4 linked regions of the Oryzias latipes genome follow. The protein of the gene in region 2 interacts with the protein of the main gene of each other region in a biochemical or structural test. Links are inferred from orthologs where the notes say so. Each region holds a gene or a part of one and is shown on either strand. Other genes may lie near its edges.

What was found.
Region 1: of the proteins of akt1 (region 2) and smarcc1, one has a biochemical effect on the other in vitro, tested with the Homo sapiens proteins (2 studies listed by BioGRID, with this or other methods). The link is inferred for Oryzias latipes from reciprocal best matches to the Homo sapiens genes AKT1 and SMARCC1.
Region 3: of the proteins of akt1 (region 2) and gab2, one has a biochemical effect on the other in vitro, tested with the Homo sapiens proteins (2 studies listed by BioGRID). The link is inferred for Oryzias latipes from reciprocal best matches to the Homo sapiens genes AKT1 and GAB2.
Region 4: of the proteins of akt1 (region 2) and rictor, one has a biochemical effect on the other in vitro, tested with the Homo sapiens proteins (7 studies listed by BioGRID, with this or other methods). The link is inferred for Oryzias latipes from reciprocal best matches to the Homo sapiens genes AKT1 and RICTOR.

The regions. Positions count from the first base shown.
Region 1 is NC_019874.2:27,735,842-27,742,318, forward strand, and holds part of smarcc1 (SWI/SNF complex subunit SMARCC1), read right to left. Parts: intron 6,006-6,477; coding exon 5,887-6,005; intron 5,624-5,886; coding exon 5,493-5,623; intron 5,159-5,492; coding exon 5,121-5,158; intron 4,422-5,120; coding exon 4,300-4,421; intron 4,202-4,299; coding exon 4,130-4,201; intron 4,028-4,129; coding exon 3,914-4,027; intron 3,797-3,913; coding exon 3,643-3,796; intron 3,288-3,642; coding exon 3,177-3,287; intron 3,077-3,176; coding exon 3,017-3,076; intron 2,903-3,016; coding exon 2,644-2,902; intron 2,227-2,643; coding exon 2,065-2,226; intron 796-2,064; coding exon 740-795; intron 1-739. UniProt on the Homo sapiens protein: Involved in transcriptional activation and repression of select genes by chromatin remodeling (alteration of DNA-nucleosome topology).
Region 2 is NC_019880.2:14,665,470-14,672,629, reverse strand, and holds the start of akt1 (RAC-alpha serine/threonine-protein kinase), read right to left. Parts: upstream 4,408-7,160; 5' UTR 4,155-4,407; intron 1-4,154. UniProt on the Homo sapiens protein: AKT1 is one of 3 closely related serine/threonine-protein kinases (AKT1, AKT2 and AKT3) called the AKT kinase, and which regulate many processes including metabolism, proliferation, cell survival, growth and angiogenesis.
Region 3 is NC_019871.2:6,588,186-6,594,662, forward strand, and holds part of gab2 (GRB2-associated-binding protein 2), read right to left. Parts: coding exon 6,455-6,477; intron 3,542-6,454; coding exon 2,952-3,541; intron 1,802-2,951; coding exon 1,713-1,801; intron 1,594-1,712; coding exon 1,311-1,593; intron 1,095-1,310; coding exon 1,004-1,094; intron 1-1,003. UniProt on the Homo sapiens protein: Adapter protein which acts downstream of several membrane receptors including cytokine, antigen, hormone, cell matrix and growth factor receptors to regulate multiple signaling pathways.
Region 4 is NC_019867.2:18,749,566-18,756,042, forward strand, and holds part of rictor (rapamycin-insensitive companion of mTOR), read right to left. Parts: intron 5,962-6,477; coding exon 5,871-5,961; intron 5,794-5,870; coding exon 5,727-5,793; intron 5,563-5,726; coding exon 5,482-5,562; intron 5,346-5,481; coding exon 5,245-5,345; intron 4,420-5,244; coding exon 4,254-4,419; intron 3,863-4,253; coding exon 3,761-3,862; intron 3,691-3,760; coding exon 3,644-3,690; intron 3,559-3,643; coding exon 3,423-3,558; intron 3,328-3,422; coding exon 3,128-3,327; intron 2,951-3,127; coding exon 2,824-2,950; intron 2,618-2,823; coding exon 2,453-2,617; intron 1,834-2,452; coding exon 1,757-1,833; intron 1,113-1,756; coding exon 1,034-1,112; intron 879-1,033; coding exon 769-878; intron 687-768; coding exon 599-686; intron 503-598; coding exon 410-502; intron 326-409; coding exon 219-325; intron 1-218. UniProt on the Homo sapiens protein: Component of the mechanistic target of rapamycin complex 2 (mTORC2), which transduces signals from growth factors to pathways involved in proliferation, cytoskeletal organization, lipogenesis and anabolic output.

The sequences.
Region 1 (6,477 bases), on a different chromosome or scaffold from region 2:
TTTTTAAATGTCCTGAGCTCCTAAGTTCCTTGTATGACTACTTTAAATGGGATTTGGCATCAAATGTGAGTCTTTCCAGCAAACATTACTGTACTCAACTCTGGTTTTTATATTAAGGCCTTCAGTGCATCATTGCAGAAGCTGCTCCAGCATATTTCTTCTGGTTATGGTGAAGGTGTAGCAGCTCAGACACTAAACCATAATGCTTCCTTTGTAGTTGTGATCACAAATTCAGGAACAACCCAATAGTGGTAGGATTTTAAAACCAGGGCAAATGCATGACTACTTAAAGAAACAACGCAACTTGAGCTTGAGAAAAAGATTATGAGCATTTGAAATTCACATCCCACGAAAACATGAATTAGACTGTGACTATAGTGAGTTAACACTACATAAAGTTTTTTTAAAGTTATTTTTAAAAGTTGTTTCTGAGGTCGGGTATCAGAGCTCAAACTCAATCAATTCAATTTTAATAGATAATTTCCCAAACTAATTTGATTTACAATTAAATATGTTTTTCTTCTTCTTTTGAAAAACATGTTTTGAAAAGACAACTTTATTGGCAACAGATGGACCGAACAATATGATTGGTAGTTTGGTGTATCTCTATCTTATGCCATAATGATAACATTTCCATTCTCATGAGTACAACTGATAAATTAAAGCATATCACTATGTGTGATAAAGTTAAAAAATATATTATTATAATAATAACTTTAGTAAACTGAAATGATCTCACCTTATCGGCCTGTTGGGATTCTGTGTCTGCCTCCATCTTTTCTGGCTCTGTAGTTTCTGTAATAAGGTGAAAATAGTGAGAGAAAAGGTGTAAAAATGTATAATTTGATCTAAAATGAACAAATCAGTTTGATATTTAAAAAAAGATAATTGTCATAGTCACCACTGAATTTTTGGAGGCTGTCAAATTACCACAAAAAATACACTATAAATATAGAATACACTTTAAATCAAACTGCTGTAATTCATAAAATGGGACTAAAAGGTTAAAGTAGGAAACGTTTCTGATACAGAGGAAGGAAACCTTTAGAGAAACGGATGAAAGTTTTCACAGCAGAGAGTTAAAGCATGTCACAGAGGCACTTAAGCAAGCCTTAAGGCTCTGATTATTGTCTGAGTGCTTTAGACCGAGTGAGCCATGGAAAACATTTAAGTTTATCGATTAGAGCTGTGACTGAGGTTTGCCCCTCATGAAGGCTTTGGTGGATCCATGTAGTAGCTCATTCATGTTTTAGCATCAAAAGCATGGAAGAAATTAAATGTCTCCAACTTACTTTCTCCAGATTATTTCAGGAATATTGATTCAAGCAAAGAGGTAGGATATATTAAAGTAAGGCATTACTTGAAATAATCTTAAAGACACCAACACGAATAGAAAAGCGTATTTTATCTACTTAAAGATGACAAAACGTGTTGCACCATAATAAACACCATAAAAAAAATCAGCAGTGTGAATCTAAGCAGAATTTTTAAATAAAACCTGTCACCTCTCATGAAATATCAATATCAGAAATTGAAAAGAGCATCGCAAAGCGCCACTATAATCTCATTTTCTCTGTGCAAAGCTGACAGCAGGCCTGTTCCTTGGGAAAAAGGTGAGCAGCTGTAAAACACAGAGCAAAAATTGACAAATGGGTCCAAGCAGTGAGAACGATGACCCAGTTTTCTGTTACCCCTCCACCCACGTCTGCCCCATCTGTCACTGTTGTTTTAATCCACTGGTTGCAGAGGCAGAATAAACACACAGTATTTTTGCTGGCAAAGACTTCATCAGTTCTCCTTCAAATGGGATAGATATGAGATATCACCTTTGTCTGAGAGTCTCATTTTCCCTCACTTCTCTGAACGCCAGCATCTCCACACACAAACCACCTCCTCCAGTCAACATGTCGCCCTCAGGTGGAGCATTTGATATAAAAGTCAGAAGAAAAACCTCCAACCTGACCCACTTTAGGCGCCATCATACCCGTCTGATGTTTAAGAATAAACCTTATATAAAATGCCCTGCATAAGACATCAATGTAAGTCTGCTTTAATGCTGCTCACCAGTCTTTTCTGGCTCCTCGGGAGCAGTTCCAGCGATCCCGCTGCTCTCCAGGCCAAAGGTGGGGTCAACCTTTCCTGTACTCCTCGCCGCCTCCTGCACCTTCTTCACATGAGCTTCCACCAACTCTGCTGGAACCTCTTCACGAACGCGAGAAAACTCCTCTGCAAACGCAGCAAGGACATTTCCATATTAAAAAATAATAATAAAAATAAGCATCTTCACAGCTCGTTCAGGGCCGACGTCCACCATTAACAACACTGGCACGGAAAACAATACTTTGAAACAATTTCATCCTAAAACTAAAACAAGTTCAGTATTTATTTTTTAAATATGCTAATTAAATCTAAAAATCTAATTAATTAAAAACCTTGAGGATTTTTTCCCCTCTAATTTTGCAGTGGAACAGATTAAAAAAAATAAAATCTAGATTTGTATTGCTTTAGCGCTTACGTTTAAAAATGCCACAATTATTGCAGTCTCAATGTCTTAAGTAGCACTGATGCAGTAAAGTTAAACAGAACATGACATGAAATTCTAAATGTCCTTGCGTGTTTCCATAGTTTTTTTTTTTTTTTTACCTAAAGCTGCCTTGGCTGCAGCAGAGGCCACTCTGGGATCAACCACAGAGGCCAGGAACGCCACGGTGCTCATCACAGGGTTTCCAGACTGGCTGAAGGGTATGGGCTGATAAGCCAGCGGACCCAGAGACGCCTCTGTGTTCTCCAGGTAGGGATCTTCGATAGGCAGCCGCAGAAAGTGGAGGATACACTCGTCTTGGGTGCGTGAACCGACATGCTCAGATACTTTGTTCCAGTCGTCTTTGAACATCTCCAGGGCCTGTGATGAGTGAAAAATAAAGTCGCAACACAGAAGAAAAATAAAGACAAGTGCAGACAGACACACAATTGTGATCCACTGACAGAAGCCGATATCTAAACAAATAAGACTTGCCTCCAAGAGAAGAAGAGTCTCCTGCTCAGTCCAGTCTCTGGTGGCGATGCCTGCTTTAGACTGCAGAAAACCAAAGTTCAACATTGCCGTTTGTTTAAGGAATATGCATCTCCAATAGTTTCCATGCAGAACTCATGCAAATGTCAAACAGGACCTTTACCTTAGTGTTTTTCTTGCTGTAGAGGTCAGCACGAAGGCCAAAGTTCTGCAGGTCGATGGGTTTATCTTTGCTTTTATCTGCAAAATTAGGCATCGGCTGCTGAGGAGGAATCTGTTGGGAAAATATTACGACAATTATCAAGAGCTCTAAGGTATTAAAGCACTTTTTAAATAAAAATGTACTTTGGTTTTAAGCTGTTAATTTTTCTTTACTGAAAACAAGTGACTTCTTCATGAATGAAAGCTGATATATATATTTAAAACATTTTGTTGGTGATAATGTCAAACTCTGCCGGCATTTGGTGTTGACAATTCATAAGATATATAGCTTCGGTAATTATTTTCTCGCAGACAATGTTAAGAAGAAAATGTCTCAAGTTTTAAACTCGATTATTAATAAGTCGATATCATACATGTACTTCAAAGTAAAAGTGACTTTGCTCCCACCTAAACAGAGCTGTGCTTACCGTTGGCGGTCTGTGGTTAAGCGGCATGAGGCCGGACGGGGTGTCAGCCAGGACAGTGAAGTGAGGTGTGGGTGGGGGGCCCATGGGGAGCGGGCGGCTTTCAGAGTCCACCTGGTAGTTGACTAAACCCCACTGCTCCAGGAAGGCATGAACCCTAAAAACATCACAGGGAAATTCACAGATTCAATTTCTCTGATCATTTTTGTTCGTTTGTTTTTCAGGATTAAAACATGAGCATCAAAGAAGCAGAAAAGCCCTGAATCCTCTTCACCTCATGATGGCGCAGACATCTCCTGTCAGGTTCCTGCGGCAGGAAGTGGAGGTGAGGTACTCCTGGGGGTTCAGCCGATACGTGTCAATCATGAAGTTCCGGTACGCCAAATATCTGTCAACAAGTCGAGAAGAATCACATTATAGTGCGATTTAGAAAGTGTGATGTAGAAAAATGTATCTGACAGTGAGGCTGAGTCTGTAAATATAATCTCACATTTCTGGAGTTTTGGATTTGTTTTTCCCGTTAAAAAACTCAGGCAGGGCTCTTCGTTCAATCTCGTGGATGCTTAAGGAGAAAAAAAAAAGACTGTTTAATGCAACCGACAAACACACTCATCAGAAATGTTTAACACGTTTATTGGTAGCAGCATTTTTAGAGCGTACCTGTTGTAATCAAACCAAGCTCCGTAGCTCGGAATGATGATGTGATGAGTCTGTTCGGTCACATTATCCTCGTTGGCATCTGTCATTCGGTTCACTTCTCCTTTGTTTTGTTCCTCATCATCCTGCAAGAAAAACCTCAATTATAAGAAACTAAAAGACAAAATACGGCTGGCCTCAAAGGTTCTATTAAATCTGTGATCCAACAGAACAAAGTTTGATTTTGTTCAAACTAATTTCCCACGTGTTTCATAAAAGCTACAAACTCTTAAAAAAATCTTATGAAGCAAATGTTTGTATTTCAAGCACAATAAAATGTAATTTAGAATCAGGAATTTTATGTTTGACCATTAAATCAACATTTGTATTGTTCTTTAAAATGTTCTTTGTTTTTTAACTACCGGTAATAACTTTATATTTTAAAAGGAAAATATTTGAAACAAATTATCCTCAAATACTTCTCATTATGTTTTTCCCCCTTAAAGAAGTTAATATCAAAACCTTTTTCAGGACTTTGGGCTGTCAATAGACAATTATTAAAATTATTACATAAAGTTTCTAAATATCCTTAATGATACAGTAAACTTTGGTAGAAAATTAACAAGAGTGTCAAAGCCAAAGTGGATTTTTGTTTTACATTTATCCTTTATGATATAAAATAAACAGAAGTAATTTAAAAATTCAAAACACTTTACTTTAATGCTTAAATTTATAATTTGGCACTAATGTAGTAGTATGTGTCTAATTTTAAAGTAATAGATTTTTGTGCATTGGCCTTACCTTCACTTATAGTCTGTTTGTATAAAATCTTTGAATTTTCTTACCTTTCCACCAGACATTACAGAGTCATCCTCCATGTCATCTAACAAAACCCAGAAAAACAATGATCAGGTGACGCAGTCAACCCAATTAAAGCAGATTTCAGCTTTGGACTGAAATGTGTTTCTACGCATTTCAATTGGTTAAGACAAACATTCCTAAAAAAATAATAGGAAAGTACGTCTTCGTTGCTTTGAAAAACTTTTTTCTATACTAAAGGTTTCACACGTCTACAAACATTTGAGATGGTTTTACATTTGTCACACTGTAAAGGGTCTGTATGGACAAAGCATGCGGCTGCGTTTGATGTGTAGCTAAAATATAATCTTACATCTAAACATTTAGGCTCCAGCTGCATTTGCGGCTGCAGTACATACCATTCTTAGACATACTGCCCTCCTCCATGCTGGCACCGGCTGAGGACTCGTCCAAGTCCTTTGTCATGTCCTCCTCCATGTCCTCCTCTTCTCCTCTGTGGCCCCGTCGCTTCCAGTGAGAGCCTGGATTCCTGCCACAAGTCAGTTTAAAAGTTAGTTCAGAGAAATGACAGAAATTCTTTGGTATTTTAAATGTTTTCAACATAATATGGCCACATAGATTTTAGTGAATGGAGGTCAAACCTGGTGCTCATTGAACACTTAGTTCTAGCAGAAAAGCTCCCAAAATCTGAGCAGCAGCTGAGTGGACCCTTCATCCAAAGTGGGTTTGTAATGTCTCTTTTTGCTGCAGTTTGATTAGTTTGAAATCTATTTAACCCGTTTTGTTTCTTACCCCTTCTTTCCTCCCTTCTTGCGGGACTCTGCGGGAGTGCTGGGAGGTGAAGGCGAGCGCCTCCTCTTCTTGCCAGCGGAGTTGGCCTTGCGCTCCTTGCGATCGGGTGTACGGGAAGACTGATCAGACAAACCCGTGCAGCGCAGGGAGCGAGGGATGGTGGATGAGAGAAAGAGCCGCAGAATGAGAGGATGGAACGATTGCACACACAAGGAGGGGAAGCGGTGGGAGAACAACAACAGGGAGGGGGTCAGGATGCCTTGGTGGGTGGTGAAGGAGACAACCAGGGTTCCTGTGTAAAGTCCTCTTTCAGACACAAGCTCATCTCTGCTTCACTGAGATTTCATAAGCGTCAAATACTTATGGAGAAATATCTCATCTAAATAGTATTCCCTGCTAATTCGTGTTTCACGCAGTCGCAGATTTTTTCAGTCTCCTCCAGTTCATCACAAAAACTCAGCACAAGACGCTTGTAAGAGAAGAATATTTCACTTTTTTTTTTTTTTAACTGGTTCCTGAATTGCTACCAACCGAAGTTTGTGCCCCTACATGGAGAAATAGCATCAGTTGACTGAGAAGCGGTCGGAGAAC
Region 2 (7,160 bases):
TCAAGGTTTGAATAACTATCCAAGGCCGTGGTTTTTGCCACTCTGAATGAAGTCTTTCTATTTGGACAATTCCATGTTGTTCACCAACACAGCCATTCCCGACAGACGAGAAGTTTTCCTTTCAACTCTGACCTGAACAGAAATGAAGTCATTCTCGGACATTTTTACAAACAGCCTCAACAGAATTCATTTGTTTTGGGTTACATGATGCTTGAGATAAAAGAAAGAACTTAATTTATGTATAAATTCCATTCGTTGGAAGTGTCCAACGCTTGTGCTAAACGTATCACTATGAAGCCCTCTATGGGAACTTCAAACATGGGAAATGTTAACAACGTTAAGATGGCAGAGCAAAACAATAGCAGGAAGAACAAAACTGCCACTAAACTAAATGTCATGCTTACATATAACATCACTTTGGCTTCTGATGTCAAAGAAGAAGTTTCAAAGTAATAAGCCTTCATCTCCGACTCATTGTTTTGTTGCGTTATTGTCATTTTCTCTGATACAAACGCTACCAATGCACAAAAAATGATTTTATTTCTATTCAAAAATTCAGGATTTAAGCTGATCAAATACATAATCTTTAGTCATTTGTATTCCAAAACCAATTTTGTTGGAATATGTATTAAAAAAAGTAGGGTGGGCAAAAGTATACCTTTGAAAATGTATATTTTTACACCAAAAGAGCTGTTAAACCTCAAAAACTATCAAAGAAACTAGTTTAAAAGAAATTTGCTATATTTATTTGATGAATTGATATTAAAGATTAAAGGAAGACTGATTTTTAAACACAGTCCCGTCTTATACCAAATCATCTTGTGAGATAAAATCACAACAAGGAGCCATAAGCTCACCCAAGTCTTTACATTTAAACCAGTTAAAGTTTCATTAAAAACAGCAATAAAAAACTCAAGATCTGTTCTACAAACTGATATTTACTATTATTCAGTAAGCATGGCAATTTATGAATTATGGTGTCATCAAGATGGCATCAATAAGACATATAATTTTCGGCTAAATAATTGATGGATTTATTTCATCCCATGTAACAAGAGAAGTTGGCCTCAAAATCTGGAGTCAGGTCAACGATCAGTTGATCAGATTTACCAAAATTCACATTGGAATGCCATCACCTTTCAAAGAATCACATGACCTAATTGAAAACTAAACATTTACTATAAAAGTCGGTCGTCATTAGTACTCATAAGGAACCGAAAAGCATCCCATTCAGAGAATAAGAGTGGTTTTGTGTTCAGAGTACAGCATTCAGACTGAAGGACACTTAAAGGAAAACTAAGAGTGTTAACAGACATGGTGAAACTGCAGTCAGCTGACACAAAAGGCTAAGTTCCATCACACTTATCTGTTACCCACAGAACACACTTTGAACGAGCTGAAGGCCAACCCTTCCAAAACACTTGACCTTTTGGTCCTTTACCCCTTCTTTATTTCATAAAGACACCATTGAATCAGGCAAGAGACATCAACAAGGTTCAATTGCCATGACTGCACACACAAATGTAATGTCCTGCACAAGGCAATTTCTGACTATTGATGGGAATCAATTTTGTTTTTCCTGCTCACATCGAAAGAGATCTGCCTGGCTAACCTCATCCAGCTTATTTGACATCAACAGGAAGTGAATGTGACTCGACAGCCTACGAGTCATATCAGAACTGCCCCGGGGCTTGATAACATCTGTCATTTAATATCTGATGAGCGCGTCTGTTATTGCAGCTTCATTCTCACTTCCATCATTGACTAAACCTTCGAAGTCTCTTGAAGCCGCCGCTTGTGTTTACTGCACAGTGGCTGGTGTTGTCCCACACAGCCACCGTGTGAAGCACTGCGCACGTGGATTTGTAAAAAGCACACAGACAGAGCGCAGTTAATCACTCTAGCAGTTGGGATCACGTCAGCATCTTAAGGCGGACTCTGTGACACCGGCATGCGTGCTTTCATACCTTCATACAGACCGGGAGCCGTCGCACAAACCAAAATGGCGACACTGCACACAAGTCTGACTCTGGAGCCACAACAGAGATCTGGCTGTTTTTAAACCGGGAGCGACCTGTCGCTGCTGCGGCTCTGCTGTGTGGAAAAGCTGGGCTGCAGCCAGCAGCCACTGAATGAACCCAGTACCCTGACAGCGGGTCACATGATCTGCAGTCCGGTGGGCCACCGCCTGCCTGGCTGCCCTGATGTCAGAGACGCTTTCAATCATTCATTTTTCTATCTAAACCTTTGCAGGGAGAGGGGGGGGGGGGGGGGGGACCCCTTTCAATACTAATCAGTGCTATGAAGCAAAAGATGTCAAATAGTTTGCTTGTGACTGGGAGGACAGAGACAACCGTCCCATGTGTTAGAGGCAGGAAGCAAAAAAGAAAAAACAAGCAGTCATCAAGACACCACCAAATTCACTCCAAATCAATAGATTCAAATCTGGTTTTCCTCATTTTTCTGTTTCCGTTTTAGTAAGCAAAACCTGGCAGCTGGTTTGTGGTTACACAGGTAGAACAGTACTCTTTTTTGAAATCATTACAAGAAAGACGAGATCAAACATTCTCCCCTGATCCTGGCAAAAGAAAACATTGAGGCAATGCTTGGTGTGCTTTAAATGCCACAATAGGAACAGGCATTGGTGTGATCTACTACACCGTACAGCGTTCCTCTTTTAGGTTCCTTAAAAAAATAACATCACCAATAATAATAATATTAAGGCTAAGTGGAGTAGTTGTTACTAAATACCAAACCACAGTAGGAGCAATCTTGACAAGCAAGAAGCTTAATCCTGTGATGACATGAACAGCAAACCCTTTATGACTCCCAGAACTGTTTTCACTTTCAGGCTGTCCAGACAGGCTGTGCAGAAGTGTACAGATGCAGCTCAGAGCTCAACTTTGAGCTCTTCTCTGATGTGATTGTTTTTGTTTTTTTGTTTTTTCCATCAAACGATGGAGAAGCCAATTTGAAGGCAACCTGACTCACCTGCGCAACAGCCTGGACCATCTGGGAGTCTCTTTTGCAGAAACCAAACGTTTCAAGCAACAACCCTCTGATCCAGCATGCAACCGGTGGCACATTTGCGTCAATGAAGCTGCGAGGGCATTGGGTGGGAGGCTGCTGGTATTTTCTAAATAAAACAGGGAGAGCCCAGCAGTCACTGGCTGCATCACCACGCCAGCTTGTTGCGTCCTCTCCGGGGGTCACATGTCGCGTCCCCTTGTGTACACAAACTGAGGCAATGCAATCTCATGACCAACAAAACAACTTTGACACTCAAGAGAACAGCCCGCCTGGGGACAATGTTCTGGAAACTTCCAGAGACGGAAGTCAAACATGATTTCACACTTCCATGAAGGCTGTCCTGTTCCCATGTGCAGCACCTCCACATCTATAAGACTGCTGGGGAGGAAAAAAAAGAAAAGAAAATAAACTACCTTTGGCTAAATGGGATGCTTTTAGTAACAGTCATCGCTGTAGGTGGAATAATGACAGTGAGGGCAGTAGAAACCATAAAAACAAGCATTATGTCATTGAACTGATTACTGGAGAGGAAAACATGAAAATAACAGTTGAGGCCTCTCCTTGAGACCTCCCTGGTGTCCGAAAGCCAGAGGCCAAAAAACATAAAATGACTGAAAGGACACGTTTTCAAGAGTGCAGGGTGACAATTCCCAGCAAAGATTTGTTGACAGTGATAGAAACAAACCTTTAATAGCTGAAGCTGAAATGTGTGGCAGCATTTCTGAGCTCAAGAAGAAGAAGCAGTAAACAAAGTGCTAATAGATAACAATGAATGAGCTGCTCTGTCTATTATTGAGCATTTAGTTTGGACTCAACTTTTTTTATTTATTCTTTTATTTCTTTAAGGCCCAATTACGTCAATATTTTCCGTGAGTCTTCACAAAGAAACGAAAAATGAATGATTAGCGTCTGAAAAAAGTGTCTTTCTGCGGTTGGTGCAAAACCACAACGAGTTCATAAGCCCTAAACTGGAACGCGGCGATTCTACGGCGACAAAAAAGAGCCATAAAAGTGTCTCATTTCGGGGGTTTTCACTTCGCAATGGATAAAAAAAGGATATGGGGCCTAGCAGGGCAGCTTGGGTGAGAATAACCGCATCCCATGTAAGTACAATGGGGACCTACCCTGTCTGGCTGTCGGCCTCTTGCAGTTTAACCACGCGACGGAAAACGCGGCCGTTTACCTGTGCGGGAACTCAACAGCGTGTCCGTCTCATTACAGTGGGCCGTTTCGGCGGTATTTTGAGTTGGTAAGTCCTTCAACAATGTGCACAGAAGTCTCTCATTTACTCCGTTTCTCTTGCCTTTCTTCCACTACACCTCCCAAACGCGCTGTCTGCAATGCCTCTGTGGCGGCCCGGCTCTCCCGGGTCCTAGCGCTGGTCTTTTATCAGCTCCACAAGACGAGCCGTTGGATCTCTGCTGTCCCGTTTGGGAGAAATGATTTTTTTTTTTTTTAATGGAGCGGGTCTGCGAGGTCTGGATGCACTTGATGAACTCCTCTGTGTTCTATCTGGTGGTGAAGCGGGTGTTTGGACCCCCAGAGGTCCCGCTAATGTTTGAAGGGGTCCTTCCTGCAATGAATGACTTGATTCACTTCATGGAACATGAGATTCTGTTCAAGATTGATTTACTGTAGGAAGTCAGTGGTGATTCATTTTTGTTAATTTGCTGTGGCTGTAATCTTTGCTGGTATGATCACTCAGAGAAAACAACAGGTCCAGGGCAGAAGTGAAAGTGCAGAATTTGAAGGATGATTGTCAAAAGAAAATAGGATGAGGAGGAAGGAGGCTGAGAGGAAGATGCTGAGAGTCTTTGTCACAGAATAAACATGAAAAAAGCACACGTTGGAAAAAGTGAATCAAAAATAAATGCATGAATGTCACCAAATAAATAAGTTTTTGTCTCAATTTTGTGTGTGTGTGTGTTTGTTTTTTATTTTTATTTTTTATAGCAAATATAAAGCAGTTGGATAGGACGATTAAACAAATATAAAGCTGGTTGGAACAAATAATGTGTTTTTTGTTAAAATACGTATAAATCAGTAAAGACTTTAAATGTCAAGAATGATAAATATGCAAGGCTTGGTGTGGAAAAAACTTGATCTTTCCAGTAAAATATATAAAAAAAGGTACATTTTATTTATGCCCCTTATTTTCATGCACTACACATAAGTATTTACTTTTATTACATACAGTATACATTTTTTGACACTTTTTCAATATTATTATCATTCTAAAAGAGGGGTTATGCTTTTATTGTGGGAACTCTGGTCACTTAGTATCACAATGCACCATCCGTTTAAACTCCAGTACCCCCTGTTAGATGACTGGCCACGGGGGGATAATTCTGAAAACTCCAAAGAAAATAAATTTATTTTTGTTCCTGTAGAATCTCTCCCCAATTTTCATTCACGAATATAGGGCTCTTATTGACTCTGGCGCTGAACACAGCCTCATCGATCAGCATCTCCTTAAACAACTCACGTTACCCACCGGGCCACTCGACTCTCCAACGCTGCCGGGTTAGGTGGTCAACAACTTTCCCGGATCACGAATCGTTCCAAACTTATTCTCATTCTCACCTCCGGTAACCATAGAGAATATCATAGATTTTTTTTTTACTCAATTTCCTCAGACCCTTATAATTCTGGGGTGCTCCTTGCTCCAACTTCATAACCCTCATATTGACTGGTTTACTCTCCGCATTTCCAACTGGAGTACCTTTTGTATGACTAATTGCCTTCATTCTGCTATTCCGTCCACCATTACATCCAAACCTGATTCTGAAGAAAACATAGATTTGTCTGAAGTACCTTCTTGCTAACATGATCTTAAATCGGTATTTTGTAAGACCAAAGCTAGCGCCTTGCCACTCCACAGGCCGTATGACTGCGCTATCGAACTTCTTAACGGCGCACCCCTCCCTAAAGGAAAATTATTCAATCTGTCAGGTCCTGAAAAAATATCCATGGAGAATTATATCCAGCAAGTTCTCTCCTTGGGTCACATCCGTCCCACATCCTCTCCGGTCGGTGCAGGTTTCTTCTTCGTGGAGAAGACAAATTCTTAAGACCCTGCATTGACTATCGTGAGTTAAACCAAATAACAGTAAAAGACAAGTATTCACTTCCACTCATTGATTCCTTTTTCGATTCAGTCAAAGAGGCACGTATTTTTTTCCAAGTTAGATCTCCATAATGCCTATCATCTGGTTCGCAACCGAGAAGGCGACAAATGGAAAACTGGCTTTAATACACCTTTGGTCCACTACGAATACCTCGTCATGCCTTTCGGACTCACTAACACCCCCGCAGTATTCCAAAGGCTTGTAAACAATGTTCTCCGTGACTTCCTCAAAAGATTTGTATTCGTTTACTTAGATGATAATCTCATCTACTCTACCAATCAAACACAACACAAACACCATGTCCATCTCATTTGGAAAGGTTATGAGAAAATCAATTATTTGTTAAATCAGAAAAATGTAAGTTTCATGTCTCCACCGTTCCCTTTTTGGGTTATATTATTGAGGCTGGTAACATCCGACTAGACCCAGCCAAAATCGAAGCCCATACCATTTGGGAGATCCCCGAGACACGAAAGAAATTACAACTGTTCCTGGGCTTCGCCAACTTCTATAGGCGATTTATTCGTAATTACAGCAGCATTGCAGCACCCCTCACTGAGCTCACCTCTGTCAATAGACCATACGTTTGGACTCCGGCAGCTGACACTGCCTTTACTAAACTCAAGGAACTTTTTGTCTCCGCCCCTATACTCATTCAACCTGACGTCCAGAAACAATTCAACGTCGAGGTCGACTCCTCTGATTCCGGAGTTGGGGCCGTACTCTCTCAACCTGAGGGTTCATCTGGAAAACTCAAACCATGTGCCTTCTATTCCCGCAAACTCAACCCCGCTGAGTAAAATTATGATGTCGGGAACCGTGAACTGTTGGCTATAAAGCTCGCACTAGAAGAATGCCGTCACTGGCTGGAGGGGGCAGAACAACCGTTTAGTTTGGACAGACCATAAAAATCTTGCTAATCTACGAAGTGCTAAACGATTGAATTCCCGTCAGGCCCACTGGTGCCTGTTCTTCGATCGTTTTAATTTTACCATTACCTAC
Region 3 (6,477 bases), on a different chromosome or scaffold from region 2:
GAACGATGAAGATCACCGATCATTTTAAATCAAATTTGTAAAAAGAACCGACAGTGTTGTTCAAACGTTTTACACCGGAGCTTTAGCTGCTACTGAAGCTAATTAAAAGAAAAAGCTTCAGTTTGCTTTGAAAAATCACATTCATGTGGATTAAAGAGTCCAGATTTGCTGTTTCTGCCATCCAACATGCCAAGTGCCTATAGAGTGTGTGGGCGGGGCTATGACCATGGGAGGCTGCCGTTGGTCAGAGCTGAGGTCGGGAGGTCGGGGTTCAAAGAAGGAGATCAGCTGACAACCTCTGTAAAGACCAAACGACAAGCTGATTCCTTCTGTGCATTTTGTTATTTTTTCTTGGGAAGACTTTGGTCTGACTCTTGGTGACAACGAGCTCTTGGTGAAAACGAAGCTCAGTGAAATGATGCGACCATGACTCCATGCGGTAACGACAACCAGCCCAAACATTAACCGTTTATGAGAACTGTACCCCCGGCGTTCCAAACAGGAAGTACCTGCTGGTTCCAGGAAGGAAAATCCCATAGACTTCTCTAGAGAAATAAACAGCGGCTCCTCAGTCATTCTATTAGTCAGAATAACTATTCTTGCTCTGATACCCTTTTTAACATTTTCCTGCCAATTCTTTTTCTTTATTCTAAGTTATAAACTGGCCAATCAGATGCCTGGATTAACATAAGTGGTGCCTGCTGGATCTCACGTCCTACGTTAGGAACGTTTGACAGTTTTCTTGTGGCCCGATTTCAAGTGGTGGGGGGTGTGGCCTTCCAACAATCTCCCTTCTGACTGGCGAGAGTGGTTGCCATAGAAACATTGCCTCAGACCGACTCACTGCTTACTGACGACGTCTGGCTCCAACATGAAAACATCCGTATCGGGGGGAAAAACGGTGACCGACGTCACTCTCGCTCAGTCCGGTTCTCATATACAGTCAATGCGCCCAACAAATGTCGTCGGCGTGACGTCTGCGAACATCAAAGCAGGGACTCACATGGGTCGTGTCCAGGACATGGTAACCGGGCTCTTAAATGGCAGCTCGTCGATGATCCCATTGCTTTTTAGGTCCAAAGGCGTCGGCTTCGCTGTGGAAAACACCAGCACAGATCTTCCATTAAAAAAATCTAGTTACGCCATTTAAAGCAAAGGCAACATGTGGGTGTTGTTGTGTATCATTTGAGTTGGTTCCTAAGAGCTTTACAAGTTAAAAGAATGCTGTGCAGATCATCCTAACCCAAGGTCAAAAAGGAAAAACAGAAATCAAACACACAAATGAAACACGCAGGGGGAAAAAACCTCACATTTCCTGTTGGGCTTCAGGTTGCGGTTAATAGGCGGAGGCGTGACATCACTGTAACGAGTGGGCCGGTGGCACAGGGAGGCGCTGCTGCCCTTGCGGGCAGGCAACGTGGCAGAGAATCCTGGGAAATCAAAGTGTGGTCCAGGGGTCATAGGAATGTAGATGTCGCTGGGATTGTCAGCCTGGGAGGCGCTCAGCGGAGAGGAGCCGGGATTCATGGGAACGTAGTTGTCATCCGAGTTGCCGCTGTCGGAGCGAGTCAGAGGCGCTTGGGCTCGCAGCTGCTGAAAGACACAGAGGTCATGTGACGGCCGCCGCCTCCTCACCCTCAGTAAAGACAAGGATGCGACATAAAAGGCTTTCCTCCTCTGTGGTTGATGACTTTGCGTTGGTATAAACTCACCAAGTAGGAGCTGAATCCGTCGTTGACGGACTCTACCGACTGGTTGTTGAAATGAAGACGATGATGGTTGTTGGTTTCAAAGGAGGAGCCTTTCATGACAAATGAGAAATTCAATCGTTTCTATTACCATAAATACAAAAAAATAAAGTACAAATGGAACAATTCCAAAGTCACGTGTCGCAATAATCCTAAAAAAAAAAAGGTTAGTTGGACTAAAAAAAAAAAGACATTTTGAAATGCTTCATGTAATAAACAAGTGACATCTAATTATGTGCTTCATATGACCACAGTTAGTCATTGTGGCGCAGGTTTGTGAACAGCCAGAGGCCCCACTAATGAGGGTCACAAATCAGTCCTTTTCTCTGAAGCCTGAGCCTGGACCTGGCAAAGGAACAAACACGGCAAATTAAGAATTCAAGCGCTGTGTCCAGCGGTACTGTTCTAAAAGCGGCTCATCGGTCTGGAACCAGGCATTTCGGATCGGCCTGTATGACTTGAATTTCATTAGCGTCTAAACGAAGCAATGATTCCTACACTGAGGCCTTTGTTTCTGTCCAGTGGCAGGAAAAAAAAGGAGGTGTGGGGGGGGGGGGGGGGGGGGGGGGGGGGGGTCAAGGGGAGGCAGAGGAGCCATAAGGAAAGAGGCGTGGTCGATCCAGACATGATTTAGAGACCCACTCCGATCAACTTTTGAGCTATTTCAGTAAGTAGTCTTTTAATTATGACGATGCTGTTTTAAGGCAAAAACAATGATAAAAAAAATCTGTCGTTTTCTAAGGCATAGTTTCTGCAGAGCAGGTTTAGAAAATTTGCTTAAGAGTTGTCGGCGGGACCGCTGGCGTGAATAACCCTGTCCCCCTTTCCTTCTCCATTGCTGAGAGCTTTCTGTTTTCATGATAGCACCCACAACCTCACATAACCAGTTCAACAAAAACACTGGAGCCGTCCAGTCGACCAGCTTGGAGTCAGATTCTAGCTCGGTCAAGGTTAACCAAGACGTATATGGATCTAGTCGTCTACAAGTAGATGGATCAAATAGGGGCGGAGCCAAGAGCATATGGCCCGCCCAGCTTATTTTATACATATATTATTTTTTAAACTGCAGTTTTGGGTCTGCTTCTTATTCATGATTTCAATAAAGAAATACTCAGAAATGTTATTTTAAGCTCAATGGTCATCAGAAAAATGCCCCAAGAACACGTTAAAAACACAATCTTTATTTAGAAGAAGAAAATGTACCTCTGTGCAGCCTTATGTTCTCCACAGCAGGGAGAGTGTTCCTGCGTGGGATGACCGATGACTTGACTTCCCCATTCTGACTTCCAGCTGAGCGGGGACTCCCCCTCTGCCCCTCTGACCCCTGGCTTGGTTTAGGGGGTCTAGGAGGCGGAGCGCAGGAGGATTCCGAGCTGGGGGGTGTGAGCGCATTGTGGTTCTTGTCAAACGTCCGCGGGATCTGGTAGAAGGAGCCGGGCGTTGTGGGGAAGTCGTAGTTGTCAGGCGAGCGCTCGTTGCTGTGCATGGTGGCGAGGGCGTTGCAAGGGGTTTTGAAGGTGTAGACCTCGTCATTCTCCAGATCGGGGTCGCTGAAGTTGCTGTGGAGCGGAGCCTCAGAGCTGTAGCCCCGCGGCAGGACGTAGCAGGCCTCCTGGGGGGAGCCGTCGTGCACACTGAGCTGTTGCTGCCCTGTCTTGGGGAGGCTGTAGAAGCCGTGCAGCTGAGATCCTGTGCCATTCAGACAGTGTGAGAAGCCGTAGGAAAGTTTCTGGACTGGAGAGTCACTCCCCGTCAGCGTGTTGCTGCGAGTGGTTTGAGAGAAGCTGGCACTTCTGCAACAGAAGCATAAGTAGAGGGGTTTTTACCATGGGCACTCCACACAAAGCCTCCAAGTTCCACTCCTATTCATCTTTTGGTATTTTTATCAGAACTATGGCATTTCTATGCAAAATGGAAAAATCTGTATCGTTTTCTAAGACATAGCCGCACAGTTTGGAGCCAGGTGCCATCTTGAGTGAGGAAAATGAAGACGTGCACGGATCTAGTCGTCTAGAATGAAGCAGGGAGCTTTTGGCCCGTCCAGTGTATTTTTTTCGTTCCAATCTTTTCCAAACTGCATTTCTTTGTCGGCTCCTATTTGAGTTACATTACTATACATAATGTAATGTGAATGTTTTGAACAAAACTGTAAATAGAAATACCCACATCATGAGGTGTGGGATCATACAAGATTTTTCTTCAATCCACTCGTTTTCAAGCACACTGTTTTGTTTTATGTCTATAAACTCTTGTGTTTATTTTCATTTATTTGAAACAAAGAAATGTATTCATATTTTCTTGATATACGGTATGCTGTATTTGACCAAAAACATGTTGAAAACACTATTTTTTAATCAGAGTGGGTCTTTAAGACCCTTGTGAGCAAACAACTGCCACACATCTGTTTCTAGAAACAATGTCATTATGTCCTGTCACCTAAAATAAATGTAATAACATCTACAGTCACTAGATGGCAGTGTTACACTAATAAGGAGAATCGAAAGTCTCTATCCACTGCCTGAGCAGCTTATGCATCCAAAATAGTAGAATCTCAAATATTTTTAAGGTTTTTTGAAACTTGATTTTTTAAGCAAGTCCTCAGCGTGCTAACAGGTTTAGGTGTAGAGGATGACGGGAGCTCAGACTTTCTCAGCCTAACTCAGGCCCCCTGTGGAAATGACCTTGACGGCCAACAAGAGCAGCTTAATAACCCTCGTGCTATCTTAGATGAGCCCACCCTTACTTTGACGTGTTCTCCCTACCATGACAAAGGTGGATAAAGGTGTAGAGGATTTCATGTAATCCATGGACACCAGTGAAGATCACAAATCATTGAAGAAAAAAGGTTCAGCGCACTGTCTAATGGGTCTAGATGACCATATTCCCAATGTTAAAGTGCCTAGGATAGCACAAGGGTTAAACAGCTGAAAACAGTAAATAAAATAAATAAAAATCCCCCCCCCTCCCTTGTGGTCATTTCTGAAAAGAAAGCACAAATTGAACTGCAAATTTTTTTTGTCATCAATGATGACACAATGCACAATACATCATTTCCTACTATGGTTGATGCACAAGTGGATGGGGGGGGGGGGGGGGGGGGCTTTTATATAGATGAAATTAGATCACTAACCATCAACCTGAGGATTTCCACTGAAGCATGAATCATACATGTGCGTCTAATTAGCGAAGCAGAGGCGAGATGGAGAAATGGGCATAAGGCTGATGAGATCGACTGAGAGGTTTGATTCTTCAGTTCCACTACGACTCCTTTCTGTGCAGCTGCTTCTGCTGATGGGGCAGATTCGCTCTGGAGGAGCGTAAACCTGCAGGAGTGATGAATGGCTGCTTCGGCTGTGTTTCTCTTAAAGGGCACCGATGGAGGCTTTGAGAAAGTATTAATGTTGACTTGAACTGAGCAGCGTCTCAGTCTGAGAGGTTTATGGCTTTAAAATTGCAAATTAATTTTCTATTTTTACTCCATCGTATCAAACGTGACTATTTTTTACCTAAGCAGTCTCTAAATTCACGGTGAGTTTTCCAATGACGTAGAAAGGATGCAGACCCCCCCCACCCCCATTAGAATTGATTTCATTCGATATTTACGTAAAGGTTTAAAAAGTCTTTAGCTTTGACATTTTGTTTAAAAAAATATACCTAGAGTTATGAAACATAAACCTTATATGAAACATAAACCTTAAAATAGTTTAGTGGAGCTTCAGCTGTTTTTTTTAGATATTTTTTATCATTTTGAGTTTGTTTTTAGATTTAAACTTTTTTATTTTGTCTCTATCGTTTGATCTTTGTTATATAATGTAAAAGTAAACAGTTGATTTTTGCAGGGAAAAAACAACAGGATTTTTTGTACAATAAGGCCCACTTAAAACCTTTTTTCTTTAAATGTTTTTTTCAAAAAACGACAGCACCTTACACCTCGGAGGGCCTTATATATGCTAACGCGGCTAACATCTAGCATGTTGGCCTGTTACTAACAGGGTTTGGAGTTAGCGTAGTCACAGTTACGGTTGTTTTAGAGGCATCTGTCCATTGTTTTTACGTGTTGAAAACAAGTTTGAGCGTTATTATGTATAGGCTAATGTGGCTAACGTGTGGCGTGTTACAAACATGTTCCAGAGTTACTGAGAATGTGGTTCATAAAGACTCTGCAATTCTCAGACTCTTTTGCCTTATGGTTCAGTGCACCTCATCTATAGACTATACAAGTATGTACCATCAGTATCTATCAGAATTTATTTCATTATACACTTTCAGGTTTTTTTGTGTTATTGTGCAATATAATAAAAAATAGATATTTGTATAAAAAACTGAGTTTGTGCAAAGAAAATGATGTCAAGGCTCGTCACAAAAAACTGTTTTAAAGATACATTTTTAGAGGATATTGTAAAGTAAAAGAAAAGGCCCTGGACTACTAAGGGTTAATGTACTTCTTTCCTGAATGTTCTCCATCTCATCATCACTTTGAATCAAACAGAAATGTAGAAATATCCTTTTAGAATAAAAGCTTCTTGTTTTTGCATTATTCTAGGCTGTTCCACAGACAGACAGCTCTCCGCCTGTTATTCCTCTCCAACGGTAGTTTGAACCCTTAGAGGCTTCTGGACTGAGGAAGCGCCGTAAACCTGTATGTTGACCTGCATTAACAGAAAACAGGAAACCAATGCAGGATGTCTGAGGGTCATGACCTTTACCGTGCACTCTCCGTCTTCCTGCT
Region 4 (6,477 bases), on a different chromosome or scaffold from region 2:
ACAACAAGCAAAGAAAGCGGAATGAACTACTATATACTGTGGTAGCAGAACAAACCAACTCCTCCAGAAGCCGGGGTTGAGGGGGGACAGACCGGAAATTCAACTGAGACAATGACTGACGGTCACGAGACGGACTCCCAAAGACAGCGGAAGGGAGACGCACCGTAGACGGGCCGGTGTAAATCAGGTGTTAGTCTAAAGGAAAGAACAAAGCTTACCCTCGCACTGACAAAACCTCACAGTGCTGCGCCAGCACCAGGATATCAGGAATGACATTCTCCTCCTGCAGGAGATTCAAGCCCCAGTTTGAAGAGCCAATGTTACCCTGTACCACAAAAAGAGAAACCATCAGAAAAAAAAGGACACTTTTACATTTCTAAGAGTAACTTCAATCAGTAGCTTTATTAACCAGAGCCCAGAGAGACGCTTTCAGCTGTTTAATTCCTTCCCAGGTGTCCAGCATCGGGGAGCGGATTGTGTAGCTGAGGTCTGGAACCACATTCTGCACACAACAACAACAAAACCGTCAAATCGGACAACTAACAAAAAAAAAAAAAAAAGAAAAGAAAAATTCAAGCTGAGAAATAAGACGCCCTACCTGGGCCTCTAACAGATGACAGCCCGTCTTATCATGGACAAGCTGACCGTACAAGTGCACAGGCAGATAGACATTTGGTCTTTGTAACCTGCAGATGGATTCAAAGAATCAAAGTAAAAACCAGAGAAGCACTGCATCTGATTAGACTCTAAAGAAATCCATCGTCCCACCTTTGGTTGCTGCGTCTAACATAGTTGTCTCCATCGACAGGTTTGCGGTAAGTTGTCAGTGCTTCATTGAGCTGCTCCTCTATCAAGTCCACATACTTAAGGTTGTACTCCTGCAATCCCATAGAGACTAGTCAAACTCCAACAATTATCGATATCTCTTCTTAACTAAAGTCATTTAAGAATGCCTATTTTGAAGAATTTTTATTTGGTGCATTTACATTTCTTTTTCTTTTGATTTATTCTTTTTTTTTAATTCTCCCAATACCTTCTGCCATTTATCCAGCTGTTTGCTGACATAACCCCTCTCGTTGAGGTAGGAGAAACCTTTGGGAATGGACAGGAACCTGCAAAATAAAATGTAACTTTCATTTTGGCAATGGACAAGAAAAGGCCAGAACAACAAGTAAAAACTGCCAAAACAGGATTTTCCTCAGAGTGGGTCTTCAAGGAACATAGGATATTATTTCACATTTTTGTTGTTCAAAAGTGATGATCTTCTGTCAGCACAATGTGTCATCAGTCGTTTTCCAAACAACTTTCCATAAAACGTGGGCGTAAGAACACATTAATTCCCTTCAGCAAATTAAGAAAAAAAATCAAAACTTGGTTAAGGTTTTAGATTTCACCAGCAAACATGGTTCACCAAAACCAACGGAAATAACTTTTTATGCAACAATTCCTGAAATAGGCTTAGAATATAATTTCAAGACATCTTGAGCAGTTTACTCGAAGAGTGTAACTCACTTACAACAAAGCTATCCTGCCAGTATGTTGAGGTGAACAAAATCACATGATTTTGATTTTGTTAATGCACACACTATTTCCAGGGTGTTGCTGTCGACAGCAACCCCACCTGTTGTTCTCCCCAAAAAGGAAGTCAGAGGCATAAACTTACTTTTAAAAAGTGTTTTATGGACTGAGGAAGGAAGCTGGAGAAAAGCAATTTTTACATGGAAAAGCACGTGGTAAGTCCACCCAGAAAACCCACCTGAGGAGCAGCAAGAGACCTTTGTCTCCCAGGTGGGACACAGCGGGCTTCAGCTGGATCAAAGCATGAAGGTTGGCCTGTGAAACAGCAGACGGTCAAACAAGTCAGCTTGATCCAAAATCTGTTCTTAACATTATTTCTGTGTTGACTAGCAAATGGGAAAAAAAAAAAACTTTATTTGGCTGAAGGAGAAACTGTTAATTGAAATGACACAAACGCCTTCTGTTTTGTGAATCATCTAAGCCAGTGGTCCCCCAAATTTTGGCACCGGGACGCACAGAAAGAAAAAATAATTTCCATTTTATTGTTTTTTTTCCCGAAAAAAACGTTTTATTTTGAAAAGTGACCGGATTTTCTCTGTTACATCCGTCACACTTAATGCACGTCAAAGTCGCGACACCAAACATCACGTGATACACCCCGCCAAAATTAAACCCAAACAACCAAAATGAGCAAAAAACAAACTTCTTTAGAAAGTTGCTTTGACAAGGGGAAACGGTCCAATGAAGGGACAGAAGAGGACCTTGCACCCGCTAAAAAAGGGAAATGTGCCTTTAACAGGCAGCGGTAAACGTGCCTTGCGTTGCACCTCAACCCCCCCCAACGGTCCGCGGTAAACGTGTCTTGCGTTGTACCGGTCCGCGGTGACAGAAAGGTTGGGGACCACTGATCTAAGCCAAGCACAGTTTCAGTCACCTTGTCCTCACACGCCTCGTCCAGTATGTCCAGAGCCTCTATGGAAACCACCTTGCTGTGGTCGTGAAGCTGCGTGACCAGCAGCTCCATGCCCCAGCTGCTGAAGAACTCCACGCCCGCGCGCAGGAGGACACGCAGGTGCTTGGTGGCATACAGCCTGCACGTCTGCTAGGTCAGACAGAAAGAACATCCATTAATTCTGAACATTCAGAAATATCAGATTATCTTATGCCTCTTAACTCTGAAATTCAAAGAAAGTTTTTTTACACTTTAACATAGAGCTATATCTTTATTCATTAATGATTTCTTTTTACAAAATGATCCCCTAGTATTTCATTGAAAGGCTATGCATACATTCGGGGTTGTCTTACGTCAGTAGCTGCAGTGAGGACCTTAGAGAGGATCACTCTGGCCAGACCGTCTCGGCTGTAGTCCAATGTGGTTACAGCGAGCTTTAGCAGAGCATCCTGGTTCTTTATGGAGCACAAATTCAGCAGGCTGCAAATAACAAAAATGCAGACTAATTAATTATGTTGTTGCCAGCATGCTTTACACATGTAGAAAACAAAACTGCTGGTGCCCCCCTTTTAATGAAAGAAAAATGTTTGTTTAATGCCCCAGACTTTCGTCAGACTCCGTTAGCTTTGGAAAGCTCCTAGAAACCAAATCTCTCACCATTGAAACAGGCCACATTTCTCTAGTAGTTTGACTCCCTGTGGGTGAGGAGAGAGAGTCCCAAGGAAGAGGAAGTAGTGCTGGCTTAGTGTGGTGAGTAAGCCGTTGCTCTGCAAACAGCGGTCGGGCTTCAGTCCCGAACAGGAGGACAGCCATGACACCATGTCTCGTACTAGATCCTCCAGGTAACCCTGACCGTCCTGTGACAGCAGGGAGGAAAATAAGAACGATAAAGAGCTGATGAGGAATCAAATGACGAATGATTTATTTACATGTTTGTGCTACTTGATCTAACCTCATCTGAGTCCAAGAGGAACTCCACAAACTGACAGCCAACCACAGTGAGCTGTCGAGCATTTGGGTGGTCCAATGCTAACCCTGCGTACAATTTACTACTGGGTTTATAAAAATACAGCAGCCTTCGAACAAACCTGCAGCAAAAAAAAAAATTATTTCAGATGTCAGAGTAACATTTAACAGAGTTTTTAAGCATTCAAAAGAACTGTGTCGTCATACTTGTGCATCTGTTCATCTTTGTTGTTCCTAAGGTTAACATTTGGCCACTGAAAGAGAAGAAGAACTTTAGAAAAGGGTGGAAAGCCATTAATCTGTTTTGCATGTGAAATGCCTGACTTTAAGGATGGTGGCTATAAGCAGCCAGTTCCACTCCAGGTTCTGCTTGTGGTTGAGAATCTGACTGTCTCTCAGGTTCAGCATCAGTGCTTCTTCTGCGTCCTGAAAATCAGAAGAAAGCCAAACTTGATTTGACAGCAAGCAAAAGGAAAATCAACGAAGCTTAGTATTTGAAAATGGCTGTGATATTGCTTTCTTTTTGTGCAACATAGATCTGGAAACTGAAAGAAAGCATCAATGAAGTGCGTTCTGTATAACTAAACTAAAAAAATAAAAGGAGACACTGATTTTCTTTCTATTTAAACAGAAAAGACGTAATTTTAAAAATGTAATAACTCTCATTCACTGCAGCATGTATATGGAATTGGATGGATGGATGGATGGATGGATGGATGGATGGATGGTGTCCACACTTTGCTTTTTTAGGAAAAGCACAACTTGTACATGCAAAGCCTGATAATATGCGTGGAAAATACTTCTGAAGGAAGCTTACCTTTATCACATAGATGTCTTTTTGGACTCGTGAGTGGGAATCTCTGCGGTTGTGCGTCAACACGGACTTGCGAATGATGTGATCCAGGTAAAGACTGTACGGCTTCAAACCTTTCTTCTTCCACTCGTGAAAGCGCTTCAGATTGTTCACTGCTGCACTCGCACGACTGGAACACAAACAAAAGAAAAGAAAAGAGATGATCTTATGAATTGATAAAAAAATGTGAAAACTGCAGCACTAGTTTAAATAAACACAGCTCAGACACAAAAACTTGCATTGTTTGCTCATGTTAGAAATGAATGTAAAGTAGAAATGATAGAAACTTTAGGGCGATCTGTAGATTTCCTTTAGAGCTCAACTGTCCTGGTCCATCATCAAATTTTCTCTCCCGTTTTTACGACGGTTAACAGTTTAAACGATTCTATGCATTGCCTGCATCCCTTAACGAAAGCAGTTTGTGATTCGACAGTTAAACACGGCACCACATCAGACGACAACCAAACACCACTTATCTGTCCAGATGAACTGTTCAGTGGGAAGTGTCATAAACCTTTAAGGTTCTGTTATGTCCACCTTAGCTTCTCTTAAAGCCTGACAAAAGTCTCTCTGGATGTGAAATTAATTTTTGTCATTTTTAAGGATATAAAAGCTTTCTTTAGACAACCCTTCCAGACAAGACAATCTAATTTCACTGCACTGACCTTGGATTTAGACATATTTCTAGATTACTTTTCTAAATTATTTGATGGATGAATTTTTAAACAAACTTTACATGTTACAGTACTACTTTAAAAATATTTATATACATTTATTAACACAAACATTTTTAGTAGTCCATTTAATTTGGATGTAACCCATCAGCACTGATTATAAGTAGATCGGGCAACACTTGAATGTTTTGTGTGTAAATATTTTCGGACATAGTTGTGTTTGTAGTGATGACAGTTTTCTCATGAGGAGGAACAGAAGCCTTGGGACAGACTGGACTCACAGTCGTTTCTCTTGGGGGATGTCAAACGAGGCCGCCATGTTGATGAGAGTTGGGAGGCAGTGAAGGTGGTGACTGTGGGAGTGAGGGAGAATGGTGTTTGCCTAAACCACACAGAAGCAGAGACAAGGAAATCAGAGACGCACTGTCAGAAGAAATGACACCAATGCTCTTTAGTAGGACAAATGATTTCAATCCAGCTTTCTAAAATGTTTAAGATTTTGTTTAGTTTTTTATTACCATATGTAGAAGATCTCCAAGGAGGATGGTGGCTCTGATAGAAAGCTGGTCATCACTGCTGGTCACCACTTCCACCAAGCCCTACACCAGCAAAATGTTCCAAAACAGAAGCGTCATCACCGTAAGCACTCACAGCCAAAGTTTAATGCAATACTGCACTGTCATACAACAATTTACAATTTAGCTCGATGCATCCGAAAAAATAAAGACGGAGCTCATAAGTAAATAAAAACAATGTGGCTCACCTCCAACAGCCCGCTGCTGATGAAGGCTGAAAGAACAAACGCCAGGTAGTTGTCCATCAGATCAGGCCTAATAAAAGAAAAAATGAATATCATGTAAGCATTCAAAGTGAAACAGTTGCTATGTTATTGGCTATTATGAGTCACCTTGAGCGGGCCCGATGAAGAAGGACGACTTTAGCTTCAGCAGCAACAAACCCATCAGACAGTCTCCAGGTGTCCTGGAACCTGGCAGGGTCTGTAGAGCAAAAACAACAAAATGATTTGAACTTAGGACGGCGTGGACATGACCTAACCCAGGCTCTAAGAGGGGCTCACACTTTTGGTGTATAAAAACTGTGGAAGTATGGCTTCTTTCACCATCATAAAAACATGTCCACACTGCATCTGGGTGTCCAGGCACTCAAAGTCTGATCTCTAATTTAATAGGTTTCTTTTGTTTTGTTTTACTTAATTTCAACCACATTTTTGCATTTTTACATTCGTGTACATTTTTATACAGGAGCTCCATTAATAGGTCAATTGAAATGTGGGGGGGGGGGGGGGGGGGCACATAATTTTACTGAAAGTTTAGCTTAAAATGAATCACAAAAATCACAAATTAATCTGTTTTATAAGTAACAAGAGGGTCGCAACTTGAAAAATCTTAGAACCCCATGTAGGATTGGTTAGAGGTAGATTAAATCAAGTTATTGGTGACGTAACAAAAGAAAAGGCTTAAAAATCTAGCCAAAAAAACATTTTTTTAAGTATT